Linked DNA regions of Sus scrofa. The protein of the gene in region 1 interacts with the protein of each later gene in a biochemical or structural test. Links are inferred from orthologs where the notes say so. Each region holds a gene or a part of one and is shown in the gene's direction. Other genes may lie near its edges.

Evidence for each region. The genes of interacting proteins can lie anywhere in the genome.
Region 2: the proteins of PTPN11 (region 1) and PECAM1 form a complex in vitro, tested with the Homo sapiens proteins (4 studies listed by BioGRID, with this or other methods). The link is inferred for Sus scrofa from reciprocal best matches to the Homo sapiens genes PTPN11 and PECAM1.
Region 3: the proteins of PTPN11 (region 1) and FRS2 interact in a test that uses a peptide from one of them, tested with the Homo sapiens proteins (2 studies listed by BioGRID, with this or other methods). The link is inferred for Sus scrofa from reciprocal best matches to the Homo sapiens genes PTPN11 and FRS2.

Annotation. Positions count from the first base shown.
Region 1 is NC_010456.5:39,289,109-39,293,521, reverse strand, and holds the start of PTPN11 (tyrosine-protein phosphatase non-receptor type 11), read left to right. Parts: upstream 1-1,482; 5' UTR 1,483-1,704; coding exon 1,705-1,718; intron 1,719-4,413. UniProt on the Homo sapiens protein: Acts downstream of various receptor and cytoplasmic protein tyrosine kinases to participate in the signal transduction from the cell surface to the nucleus. Positively regulates MAPK signal transduction pathway. Dephosphorylates GAB1, ARHGAP35 and EGFR.
Region 2 is NC_010454.4:14,691,409-14,695,382, forward strand, and holds part of PECAM1 (platelet endothelial cell adhesion molecule), read left to right. Parts: intron 1-2,761; coding exon 2,762-3,049; intron 3,050-3,974. UniProt on the Homo sapiens protein: Cell adhesion molecule which is required for leukocyte transendothelial migration (TEM) under most inflammatory conditions.
Region 3 is NC_010447.5:33,843,700-33,847,673, forward strand, and holds part of FRS2 (fibroblast growth factor receptor substrate 2), read left to right. Parts: intron 1-111; coding exon 112-298; intron 299-1,137; coding exon 1,138-1,296; intron 1,297-1,653; coding exon 1,654-1,817; intron 1,818-3,974. UniProt on the Homo sapiens protein: Adapter protein that links activated FGR and NGF receptors to downstream signaling pathways.

The DNA of each region.
Region 1 (4,413 bases):
TATTATATTTGCTGTAGATTTGTCATAAATGGCTTATTATTATGTTAAGGTATATTCCCTCTACACTCACTTTGATAAGAGTTTTTATCATGAATGGGTGTTGAATTTTGTCAAATGCTTTTTCTGCATCTATTGAGATGATCGTGTGGTTTTTTTTTTTTCCCACCATACAGCAAGGGGATCAAGTTATCCTTACATGTATACATTTTTTCCCCCACCCTTTGTTCTGTTGCAATATGAGTATCTATACATAGTTCGATCGTGTGGTTTTTGACTTTTCTTTTGTTGATGTGGTGTACGACATTGATTGATTTGCATATGTTGAACCATCCTTGTGATCCTGGGATGAATCCCACTTGGTCATGGTGTATAATCTTTTTTATGTTTTTGGATGCAGTTGGCTAAAATTTTGTTGAAAATTTTGGGGTCTGTATTCATCAAAGATATTGGCCTATAGTTTTCTTTTTTGTTAACATCTTTGTCTGGTTTTGGTATTAGGATGATGGTGGCATCATAGAATGTCTTTGGGAGTGTTCCTTCTTCAAACTTTTGGAAAAGTTTAAGGATGGGTATAAGTTCCTCTTTGTATGTTTGGTAGAATTCACCTGTGAATCCATCTGGTCCTGGACTTTCATTTATAGGGAGTGTTATCATTTCCTACTACTCTCCTTATATTTCCTATACCCTTCCCACCTCCTACTGTGCTCCAGGCAGAGATTTCTTCATTTTCCCTCCTGCCTCCTGCCTCAGGCCCTTTGCAATGGCCTCTCCCTGTGCTTGAAATGCTCTTCCCCTAAATTATTCTGTCTATTTCTACATCAGATCTTTACTCAAACGTTATCCTTAGTGATAACGTTATCCTTTAAAATAACATAAACGGCTATGGAGAAAAGAAGGGAAATGAGGATGGGAGTATTTCTCTTGATTACTATGGCTCCTATCACAAGAACACCGGGATTTTTGTCTTTTCATCCCCATAGTCAAAAATAGAGCCTAGCAGATAGAAAACACTTGCATGTTTACTTCCAATAAAGCACTTAATAGGCCAGGCCTCGTTCTAAACATTTTACATTTTTAATTCTCCCCATAAACCTAAGAAGAAAATACAATTCTCGTTGTACAGAAATGAAGGAATGGAGGAAACAGCCTCAGAGAAATCAAGCAGTTTTCCCAAGGTTACATATCTGGAGCGAAGCGGCTGTTTGTAGAATGAAATGAATGAAATTCGACTTGACGGCGCAGGAATGGAAATCCACGCGGTGGGAGTGGATGCGATCAATTCCTGTGAGCGCGTGAGACTTTGAGCGCACAGCACAGGCCCCGCTGTGAAGGCCTAAAGGAGGAGGTGAGGGTACTTTGGGAACTGCACGGCAGCTGCTTCGCCGAACCACTAAATTGCCATAACCAGTTGCAGATCAGCCCCGGCTGACTGGAAGCAGGAAGTAGCGGCCGGCGTCGCGCGGGGTGACGTCATGGTGGCGCCGGCGCCGAGGGGCGGGGGAGAAGGAGGAGCGAACCGAGGTTGGGGGGCGGCTGCACAGTCCCCGGGATCCCCAGGCCTGGAGGGGGGTCTGCGCGCGGCCGGCTGGCACTGCCCCCCGTCCGGTCCCGAGCGGGCCTCCCTCGGGCCAGCCCGATGTGACCAGGCTCAGTGGAGCCTGAGCAAGGAACCGGTCCGTCGCGGAGCCGGAGAGCGGGAGGAACATGACATCGCGGAGGTGAGGAGCCCCGAGGGCCCAGCCTGGGCCTCAGCCCCGCACCCCCCCCGCGCCGCGTTTGGTCTGCCCGGCCTGGGAAGGGGCGGCCGGGCCAGGCTTCGGACTCCGGCCCGGGGTCGCGGGGGCAGGATCTGTCCCAACTCCCTGTCCCTCCTGGGCCCCAGGGCCCGGCCCCACCGCGCCCCCACCCCTCGCGTCCTCATTCATTTCCTGCCTCCCCGAGTTCCGGCTCCTGCAGCCCTGGGGATGCCCGTCTGGACAGGGGCAGGTAGAGCCGCCCCAGGAACCGCGGACGCCAGCGGCCCGGCTCGGCGCCGCATTCCTGACCCATTGCCTCATGAGAATTGCCTCATGGTGATTCCGAAATAACCCCGCTCACTTGGGGAGGCTCCTCGGTCCGGGACGCGGGAGGGGAGAGGAGGGAGTTGCGCGGGGCCGGGCCCCAGTTGATCGAGCGGCTCTGGGTCACTACTTTTTGCGCGCATTCGGGGGCTTTACTCAGGATCCCTGACCCCTTTACATGCCTTTTTGCATCCCGTCCCCCCGACTACTCACGTGCCAGAAATGGAAAAACTGACTGTATCTACAGCTATTAGAAGTATTTCCTTCCTCTGCGATCTTCTCTTTGGGAGATTGGAGGGCAGGGAGCTCTGTCTCTAGTTATTTAATCCTTCACCACAACCGTAAATGTCTGGTAACATTAATCACCCCCGTTTTACGGATGTGTAAACTGAGGCTCAGAGGAAACATGATAGTAATAGGATTTGAACCGAAGAGTCCTCAGAGTAGTGAATTGAGATTCTTTGAAAGTTCAGTGTAGTTATACCATTAATAGCTAACATTTATTTAGCTCTTACTGTATGCCAGATACGTTTAATCCTTACTCTCAACCTATGAGATAGGTAGTGTTATCACCGTTCTAAAGATGAGTAAACTGAGTTTCAGAAGTTAGGCAACTTGCCTAAGGTCAGTCTATCAATAAGTAGTGGAACCAGAATCCCCACTGTTAATTACTAGGTTGCTATTATTGTTTCATAACTATTGCCAATCATTTGTAAGCCTTAATTTTGTTGTTAAACAGTAGTATGATCTGTTGTTTTCAGATAACGATCCTGCTATGTATTGCTACTTTTTATATACGATTCAAACATAAGATCCATTGTTTAGACTTTCCTTCATTGTCCTGTTATGGTCACTGTCTCAGACATTTGAAAAACTGTTTCAAGCTGTTAGAGTTATTTGAATGAGAGATTTCAAAATATTAGGAATGCTTTCTCAAAAACACCTGCATATTTTCCATTCATGGAATGAAAAGAGAAAGAAGAAAACTGAAAACTTAGAAAGTGAGTGCTTTGGACAGGTCTGTTGGCAAGTGCTTACAGATCTGGGTAATACATAATTGCATTTCAGCAGAACAGTGTATAGCCTCAAATGTGCTTATTCTTTAGGGAGCTTTTAAATAAAACAGTTGTCTATTCTTTAATCTGTCAAATAGTCATTGAGCCTTTTGTTCCTTGTGTCTGCTCTTCCAGACAAGTAAGGATCTGCTTCTTTTAGGAGACAAAAAGATTGGGGGCTGGGGCTGGGATAGGGGCTGGGTAGTAATAGACTCTACATTGTCTAGCTTGTTAGTTTAGAAGCCAGGAAGTGTGGTATAGCCAAAGCAGCAAGTGGTAAAGATGACAGCTTGAAATGGAGTAATTCCTTCTCTCCTCCAGCCCTCTCTTACCTGTTATGGAAAAGAAATGTGTGCCACCTAAAAGTCATATTATGAATATAACACACATAATTGGAAACTATTTATTTTTATTTTTCAGATAGATGTTTTATTTTTAACCAGCTTTATTGAGGTATAAACGACATAGGATAGATTGCATATATTTGTTTTTCTTTCTTTCTTTCTTTTTTTTTTTTTTTTTTTTTTTGTCTTTTTTGGCTGCCCTGCGGCATATAGAAGTTCCCTGGGCCAGGGATTACATCCAAGTCGAAGTTGTGACCTAAGCTGCAGCTGCGGCAACACAGGATTCTTAACCCACAGTGTCAGGCTGGGGATGGAACCTGTGTCCCAGTGCTCCCAAGACGCTGCCAGTACCGATGTGCCATAGCAGGAACTCCCAACTGCATATATTTAAGCATACAGTTTGAGAAGTTTTGACACATAGATACACTTGTAAAACCATCACCATAATTGAGATAATGGACATATCCATCACGCCTTGCCATGGCTCCTCAAGCCCTTTCTAATCCCTTCCTTCTCAGACAAACACTCTTCTGTTTTCTGTCCCTGTGTATTAGTTTGCATTTCCTAGAATTTTGTATAAATGGGCTTTGATGTATGGTTTCTTATGCTCAGCATAATTATGTTGAGATTCAACCATATTATAGTGTGTGTGTCAAATAGTTCATTACTTTTTATTGATTAGTAATATTCCATCGTATGGATGTACTGCCATCTATTTATCCACCTACCTGTTGCTGGACATTTGGGTTGTTTCAGAGTTTGGCCATCACAAATAAAGCTGCTCTGAATGTTGGTGTACAACTGTGTGTATAGCTGTGTACCTCATTCCTCTTTGGAAAATACCCATCAATGGTATGGCTGGTTCACATAGTAGATATATATTTAACTTTTTTAGGGGCGTTCCTGTTGTGGCTCAGTGGTTAATGAATCTGAGTAGGAACCATGAGGTTTCAG
Region 2 (3,974 bases), on another chromosome or scaffold:
AGTCGGATTCATTTCTGCTGCGCCACAATGGGAACTCCCCCATGTGGATATCTTGAGGTGGATAACAATTCCTCCTACTATTAATGTACAGTCTAAGAGGAACAATATTTTTCAAATTAACACCAATATATATTAAGCAGCTCATGCTATAGGGCGTTCCAAAAAAGAAGACATATTCTTTGTTTTCAATGATATAATGAGAAACACAGGATCTCCTGATTAAATAGTGAAGGAACGTTTTGATATATTTGAATAACAGTGCAAAGAAACATAGGAAAAGTGTTACTAGGCAACACATGATTGTCGCCTGAACCCTCCGTACGGTGATGGTGACAGGAATTTAGGGCATGAATGATGCCACATCTAGGCTGAGTGGGAGGAGCTGGCTAAAAGCCAAGGCTCGACAATGGCTGGGCAGAGAGGGCTAGAGATGGTCCCCAGCCTAGTCAAATATATGAGCAAAAGGCTCCATGGAGCAGTTCAAAAGGCTGTGGCTACATCAAATGGCTGGACACAAAGGCTGGGGATGAAGAGTCAGCGGCCATAAACAGGAAGAGTGGCTGAGCCTAACTGTGAAGGGCTTCAATTGCCCGTCAGGAGTCGGGGCTTTGTCCTGTGTGCAGTGAAGAGCCAGAAGTGGGAAAGAGGATATGCCGAGAATGCGGTCTTGGCAAGATTAACCTGGGAGTCCTGTCAGTTAGAAGGAGTGGGGGGAGTTCCCGTCGTGGCACAGCCGGAGCGAATCCGACTGGAACCATGAGGTTGCGGGTTCCATCCCTGGCCTTGCTCAGTGGGTTAAGGATCTGGCGTGCTATGAGCAGTGGTGTAGGTTGCAGATGCAGCTCGATCTGGCGTTGCTGTGGCTGTGGCATAGGCCAGCAGCTGTAGCTTCGATTAGACACCTATGCTGGGAACCTCCATATGCTGTGGGTGTGGCCCTAAAAAGCAAAACAAACAAACAAGTGCAAATAAATAATAAATAAATAGTTGCAATTCTCACTTAAAAAAATTTTTTTAAAAAAAGGTGAAAAAGAAAAAAAAAATGGAGTGGAGACTCCAAGCCTTACAAGACCTTAAGAAGCTAGTGTAGGAGCCCACGTGAAACTGTTGTTTTATACTGGGTCAACATTAATGGCTAATATTTACTGAGCTCTGTCCATCCACCCCCATGTGAAGTATTTTAGTAAATTACTCCCATTCATACTTACAGTAGCCACATCAGATCCATATTAATATCATCCTTATTTTATGATGAGGCAACTAGGGCTTAAGATAAAGAGCTGGTGGGCATTTGGGCTGGGAATTGAGGCCAGGCAGTCTGGCTCCTGAGCCTGGCTTGCCACCACCCCCTTGTGCTTCACAAGAAGAGGGGCCGTCAGGTCCAGCTGCACCTCCAGGAGGCTGCCCTTGGGGTTGACCCCCATCATCCCATCCCAGGCTCCGTGCTCCCTTTCGCTGGGTCAGCAAGTCCATGGTCTGGCCCCCTCTACACTCATGAGGGTGACTCACAAGTCAGATGCCAGTCTGCTGATCAGTTCACTCTCATACTAGTAGGAACATCCTTGGGAAGACAGTCTACAAGCAGAATTTTGGTGGTTGGACGTGGAGCGAAAGGGGCTATAGGAGGAAGATGAGTTCGGCTTGGCTCTGCTGGGAATGAGAGGCTGGCAGGGCTTCTTGCTGGAAATGCCCAAATGAAATTCAAGACTCGGAATTCAGGGGAGTAATCTGGACTAGAGCTGTTTAACCAATGTAGGGGAGATCACCAAAGGGGAGAGCGGAGACGGAGAACTGAGGACGAATTTTGTGGAAAGTCCCCAGGTAAAGGGCAAAAGGAAGAAAAATTGGTGAATAAAGAGGGAGTGGCAGGTGAGGAGGTAAGAGAATCAGAGTTGTAAGACTTCACAGAAGCCCAGAGAAAGCTGAGTTCAAAAGAAAAGGCTGGTGGAGTTCCCTAGTGGCTCAGCAGGTTAAGGATCCAGCGTTGTCACTGCAGCAGCTCAGGTCTCTGCTATGGCAGAGGTTCGATCCCTGGCCCAGGAACTTCCACATGCCAGGGACATGGCCAAAAAAAGGGAAAGACTGAGTAATAGGTGAGAATGATTATGATAGGGAGGCCAAGGCTGCGAAAGCTGGAAGAACATCCACCATGGATTTATCTGCAGGGATGAGTTAGCTGGGGAGTCCGATGACCTTTGAGTTTCTTCAAAACCAGAGATATAGTGCAGCTTCAGAAGCAGAAGGATAGAAGTCAGATTTCAAGGCTAACAAGAAAGAGAAAAACAGGACAATAGCGAGAGAAGGCAGGGCATCAAGGTTACTTGCTCGTAAGATCTGGACATGCCATGTATCTTTGTAAGCAGAGGGAAAGAAATCACACACACTCTCTCTCTCTCTCCCTCCCTCCCCCTTACACACCCCCACACACTCACATATCCAAACTCACCCAGAACAGACCCCAAGAGAACATAAGTTAATCATATAGTCAGGTGGCCAGTAATACTTGAGGTGGTAGGTGAAGGGAGGCGTCCCTAGCATCTCGTGTCTTATCAACATGTGAGGACAGGAGGTGTCCATTGCTGCCCTTCTGGGCTAATCGGGAGAAGAACTGGAAAGAATGTGAGATGCCAGGAGTGATTTGAAAAGGGGCACGGTCCAGTTCTGGATCAGTCACAGAAGGCTGGCCTTGACCAGTGGCTGTGTCATGGTCCTTCTCTTCCCCACCTCTTTTCTCAGAGCTAATCCCTTTCCTGCTTTTCAGCCCCAGTGGAGGAAGTCAAGCTCTCTATTCTCCTGAGCGAGGAGGTGGAGTCTGGGCAGGCCATTGTGCTTCAATGCTCCGTGAAAGAAGGATCTGGCCCCATCACGTACAAGTTTTACAAAGAAAAGGAGAACAAGCCCTTCCACCAAGTCACCTTGAATGACACCCAGGCCATTTGGCACAAGCCAAAGGCTAGCAAGGATCAGGAGGGACAGTATTATTGCCTGGCCTCCAACAGAGCCACCCCTTCCAAAAACTTCCTCCAAAGCAATATACTGGCAGTCAGAGGTGAGTCTCGGTCTCAATGGTGAAACGTAGTGTGAGCTCCAAGGGCCAGAAAGCACACTGTTTGTAAGAGGAAGTGGGTGGGAGTTTGGCACATCTTACTGAGGAAACTGTATCCTCCAGGCTCTTTGGTTGCAGGTAACAAAACCCACTCAAATTAAGTATAAAAGAGGAAGAATGTATACATGATATGTGACTGGGTCCCCTTGCTATACAGTAGAAAATTGACAGAACACTGGGAGTTCTCGTCGTGGCTCCGTGGCTCCACGTCTTACGCTGGTAGACGTGGGCATGAGTGGAGACCCCCCCACATGCCGAATGCTTCCCCGTGAATCTGTGATTGTGCCATGATTTCCACCCTGGGCTTGAGGTTAGCCATGCATAGAGGGGAAGCCAGGACTACCCACTGACCCTCAGGAATCAAGTCTGCTAAGCCAGACTCCAGGAAAAGGGCACAGCACCAGTAAAGTCTGCTCTGGTCTGGTGGAGGAACCATGAGGTTGCGGGTTCCATCCCTGGCCTTGCTCAGTGGGTTAAGGATCTGGCATTGCCGTGAGCTGTGATGTAAGTCGCAGCATTGCCATTGCTGTGGCCCTGGTGTAGGCTGTTGCTACAGCTCCGATTAGACCCCTAGCCTGGGAACCTCCATATGCTGTGGGAGCAGCCCTAGAAAAGGCAAAAAGACAAGAAAGAAAGAAAGAGAGAAAGAGAGAAAGAGAGGAGTTGATTACTCTAAGGAATTAGAAGTATTTCTCACAATCCTAATTACAAATTCTTAGTGGAAAGACACCAAGTGGCCCTTCCGGGGTCCAATGTCCACCCATGGACCATTTATGCTCAAGAGGATGGGGTCATGCAGAACAGACGCGGTTAGAGGAGCCCATCTATGTGGTGGGGGGTTGCTTACAGAGAAGTAGGAGGGGCAAAC
Region 3 (3,974 bases), on another chromosome or scaffold:
AATAACTGAACCAATCAGCCACAGTACATTTTCCTGGCCAATTAGTGAAATATTTATAGGACTGTCAAGTGGGAGCATATAGGTTAGCACTAATTAAACCTTCTTTTTTAGGTCATTAATGTGGATGATGATGGAAATGAGTTAGGTTCTGGCATAATGGAACTTACAGACACAGAACTGATTTTATACACACGCAAGCGTGACTCGGTAAAATGGCACTACCTCTGCCTCCGACGCTATGGCTATGATTCAAATCTCTTTTCTTTTGAAAGTGGTCGAAGGTGTCAAACTGGACAAGGTAGGTAGAGCCTTTATTTTTTTTTTTTCTCCAAACATTATCGCATTTGAAATATTATTCTTTCAGTTATTCTGTATATAATGTTTAAATAATATTTTATTTTTATCCTCATAGGAAAAAATTCTCAAATAAGTGGGTTTTTAAAAAAGATAACAGTACACTGTATATTCATTTATCAAACATTTATTAAGCGTGTTTTCTATGTTTAGAATTTTGACGCATATTAACTTTAAAATTTGCCGTAAGTAAATGATTAGTCCCAGTAAATTGCCTGTGTGTCTTTACTGTTAGAACTTGGGGGAAAGAACTTATTAAACTTTGGAGTCAAACAGAACATGGTTTGATTTTTTGATGTTGTTGTTACCTACCACTTGAAAGTCTTTCGGCAAGTTTCATGACCTCTGTGGCATCAAATGTCTTCTCTATCAGAGGGAAATGGTAATCTGTACCTTATAGAATTATTGTAATAATTAAACAAGATAATCATTGTAAACCACAGAGCAAGGGCTTGTCAAACGGTAAAGGATCCCCTGGTATTAGTGAGTTGGGCTCCCCCTGCTGTTAAAAACCAGAGTAGAGTCAATGTGCAGATCTTGTTTTTGTCTTCCTTATTTTGAGCTGTCACCCACAGACAAAGGAAAATTATTCTGTGAACTTTCTTTTGAGTTTATGTTTTGAAACAGGGAATGTCATTAATTTATCAGACATTTCTTTTTAAGGCCTTTTTTGCTATTGGTGCACAGAATGCTTAACTGTACAATTTTGCTCTTTGGTGCTCCTGTATCTTTTTTAAAGATGTGGTGACTAGTTTTTTTCATCTGGTTTATTTATATTTGTAGGAATCTTTGCCTTTAAGTGTGCTCGTGCAGAAGAATTATTTAATATGTTGCAAGAGATTATGCAGAATAATAGTATAAATGTGGTGGAAGAGCCAGTTGTTGAAAGGAATAACCATCAGACAGAATTGGAAGTCCCCAGAACACCTCGAACACCTACAAGTAAGTGCCCATTTTCCCTCTTCTGTTATAAACTGTGGATTATGGGTATTTATTCTGTAATGTATTAGAAATTACCATTGACTAACATAAGTATAATGGTTATGAGTTTTCAAAAACTGTTAGCTGTAGTTATAAACATTTTTAATATCTTAAATATGAAAACATTACATGTTTCATATTATTTAAAGTGTGAGTGAAAAGTTGGAGCGGAGACGGGCGCTGTTTGTGCTCTGGTTTCTGCCTGAAACACCTTCCTTAATCCTCTGAGTACTGATTGTATTCTCTTTCATTTTATTTTCTCTGCCCTACCCCATCTCCTGCTTTTCTTCTCAAACCACTAAACAAACAAAAACTCAGCTCCAGGGTTTGCTGCTCAGAACTTACCCAATGGATATCCTCGATATCCGTCATTTGGAGATGCTTCATCCCATCCCTCAAGCAGACATCCTTCTGTGGGAAGTGCACGCCTGCCTTCAGTAGGTGAAGAATCTACACATCCTTTGCTTGTGGCTGAGGAACAAGTATGTGCTCCTGTCGAAAAATATTGTGTGGGGTCCTAGTGTTATTATGCTAATAATACTTAAAGTTTTTAGTTTAAATTTTAGTCATTTACTGTTTGTATATGACTTTTGCAGTGAAGACTCAGAGGAAATAGCATATATGGGCTGACATATGCGCAAACGTGTATATGTGTTGAGGGAAACTTATTAGCATTATAGTAAGTTTTAGGGAGTTCGCACCAGAGGTGGGTTAACAGGACATAACTAACATGCTACAATAACCTCCAATGAATGCTTTTTATATTATGGTTTTTGTAATTAGTGGACTTCTAGCATTAAGGCATATTTTGTTGTTGTCAGTGTTTGAACAGAGCAAGTTAATATTCCTGACTTTTCTGTTTTCCTTTTAGGAATGAAATATCTGGTTGAACACTGTCTGTGTATTACTTATCTTTTGTTAACAATGTGATTATTTATCATTAAGAAGTTTTTTCTGTTTTTTTTTTTTTTTTTTTTGTCTGTTTTGGCTTTTTGGGCCACCATGTACCACGGTGGTAAAAGTGCTGCATCCCACCTACTAGACCACCAGGGAACTCCTGAAATTTTTACTGTTTTAAAATCCATTTCTTTATGTTCTTTACTTGGTAAATGAGTTCTTATATGCTATGATTATATCCATCAGTTTTAAATTGTATTTTCGAGATTTTCCAAATTTTATTATTTACATATATCCCCCTAAAATACCATGAGCTTTTCTAAGTAGTGATAATTTCCTGGTATGTGGTATTTATTTTATATCTGTATATTTACAGAACTCTTATTAAATTTAGTAGGGGAGGAATTCCCATTGTGGCTCAGCGGAAACAAACCTGCCTAGTATCCATAAGGATGCAGGTTTGATCCATGGCCTTACTCAGTGGGTTAAGGATCTGGCGTTGCTATGAGCTGTGGTGTAGGTCACCAGTGCCACTCAGGTCCCCTGTGACTGTGGCTGTGGCTTATGTCAGCACCTGTAGGTCCAATTTGACCCCTAGCCTGGGAATCTCTGTGTGCTGTAGGTGCAGCCCTTAAAAGAAAAAAAAAATTAGTAGGGGAGTTCCCACTATGGCACAGTGGGTTAAGGACCCAGCATTGCTGCAGCTGTGTTATAGGTCACAGCTGCAGCTCAGATTGATCCCTGGCCTTGAAACTTCTGTTTTGGCAGGTTTGGCCAAAAAAAGAGTCTAGTAGGGTTTATCCCTTTGTACAGTCAGATCATCTATAAATATTGATAAATTTATCTCTTTTTAATACCTATTATTTCCTGTTTCTAAATCATGTTTTAATGCATTGTTGAGAATTTCTAGAACATTAAAGTGATAATCTCTATTTATTCCTGATTTTTTTTACAGAATGCTTATTATGTTTCACCATCAAGTATATTTTATTTTTATTTATTTATATATTTACTTATTACAGTGTAGTTAATTTACAATGTTGTGCCAATTTCTGCTGTACAGAAGAGTGACTCAGTATGTGTGTGTGTGTGTATACATTCTTTCATTTGTGTGTGTGTGTGTGTGTATGCGTGTGTGTCTTTTTTTAGGGCCTCACCCACAGCACATGGAATTTCCCAGGCTAGGAGTCAAATCAGAGCTACAGCTGCCAGCTTACGCCACAGCCACAGCAGCTCAGGATCCAAGCCGTGTCTACAACCTACACCACAGGTCACAGCAATGCTGGATCCTTAACCCACTGAGCGAGGCCAGAGATCCAACCCACATACTCATGGATACTAGTTGGGTTCTTAACCTGCTGAGCCATGACGGGAACTCCTATGTATTATTTTCCATCATGATCTCTGGAGATTGGATATAGTTCCCTATGTTATACAGTAAGACCTTATTGTTTATCCATTCTAAATGTAATAGTTTGCATATCTTAACCCCAAACTCCCAGTCCATCTCACTCACTCCCCCCTCCCCTCTGGCAACCATCAAATAAATTTCAAAGTAGTTATTCTTTCATCAAGCTAGGAAGACATTTCTACATCCCCCCCCACCCGCAACACACACTAGTCTATTATTAAAAAATAGGTATAGAAGCTTTGAAATAGGAATATGTTTAAAGAGAAAGTTAATAAAATTAATTGATACGGTAAGGTACATTTTTTGACTTTTTTTTTTTTTCTCTGCCTTG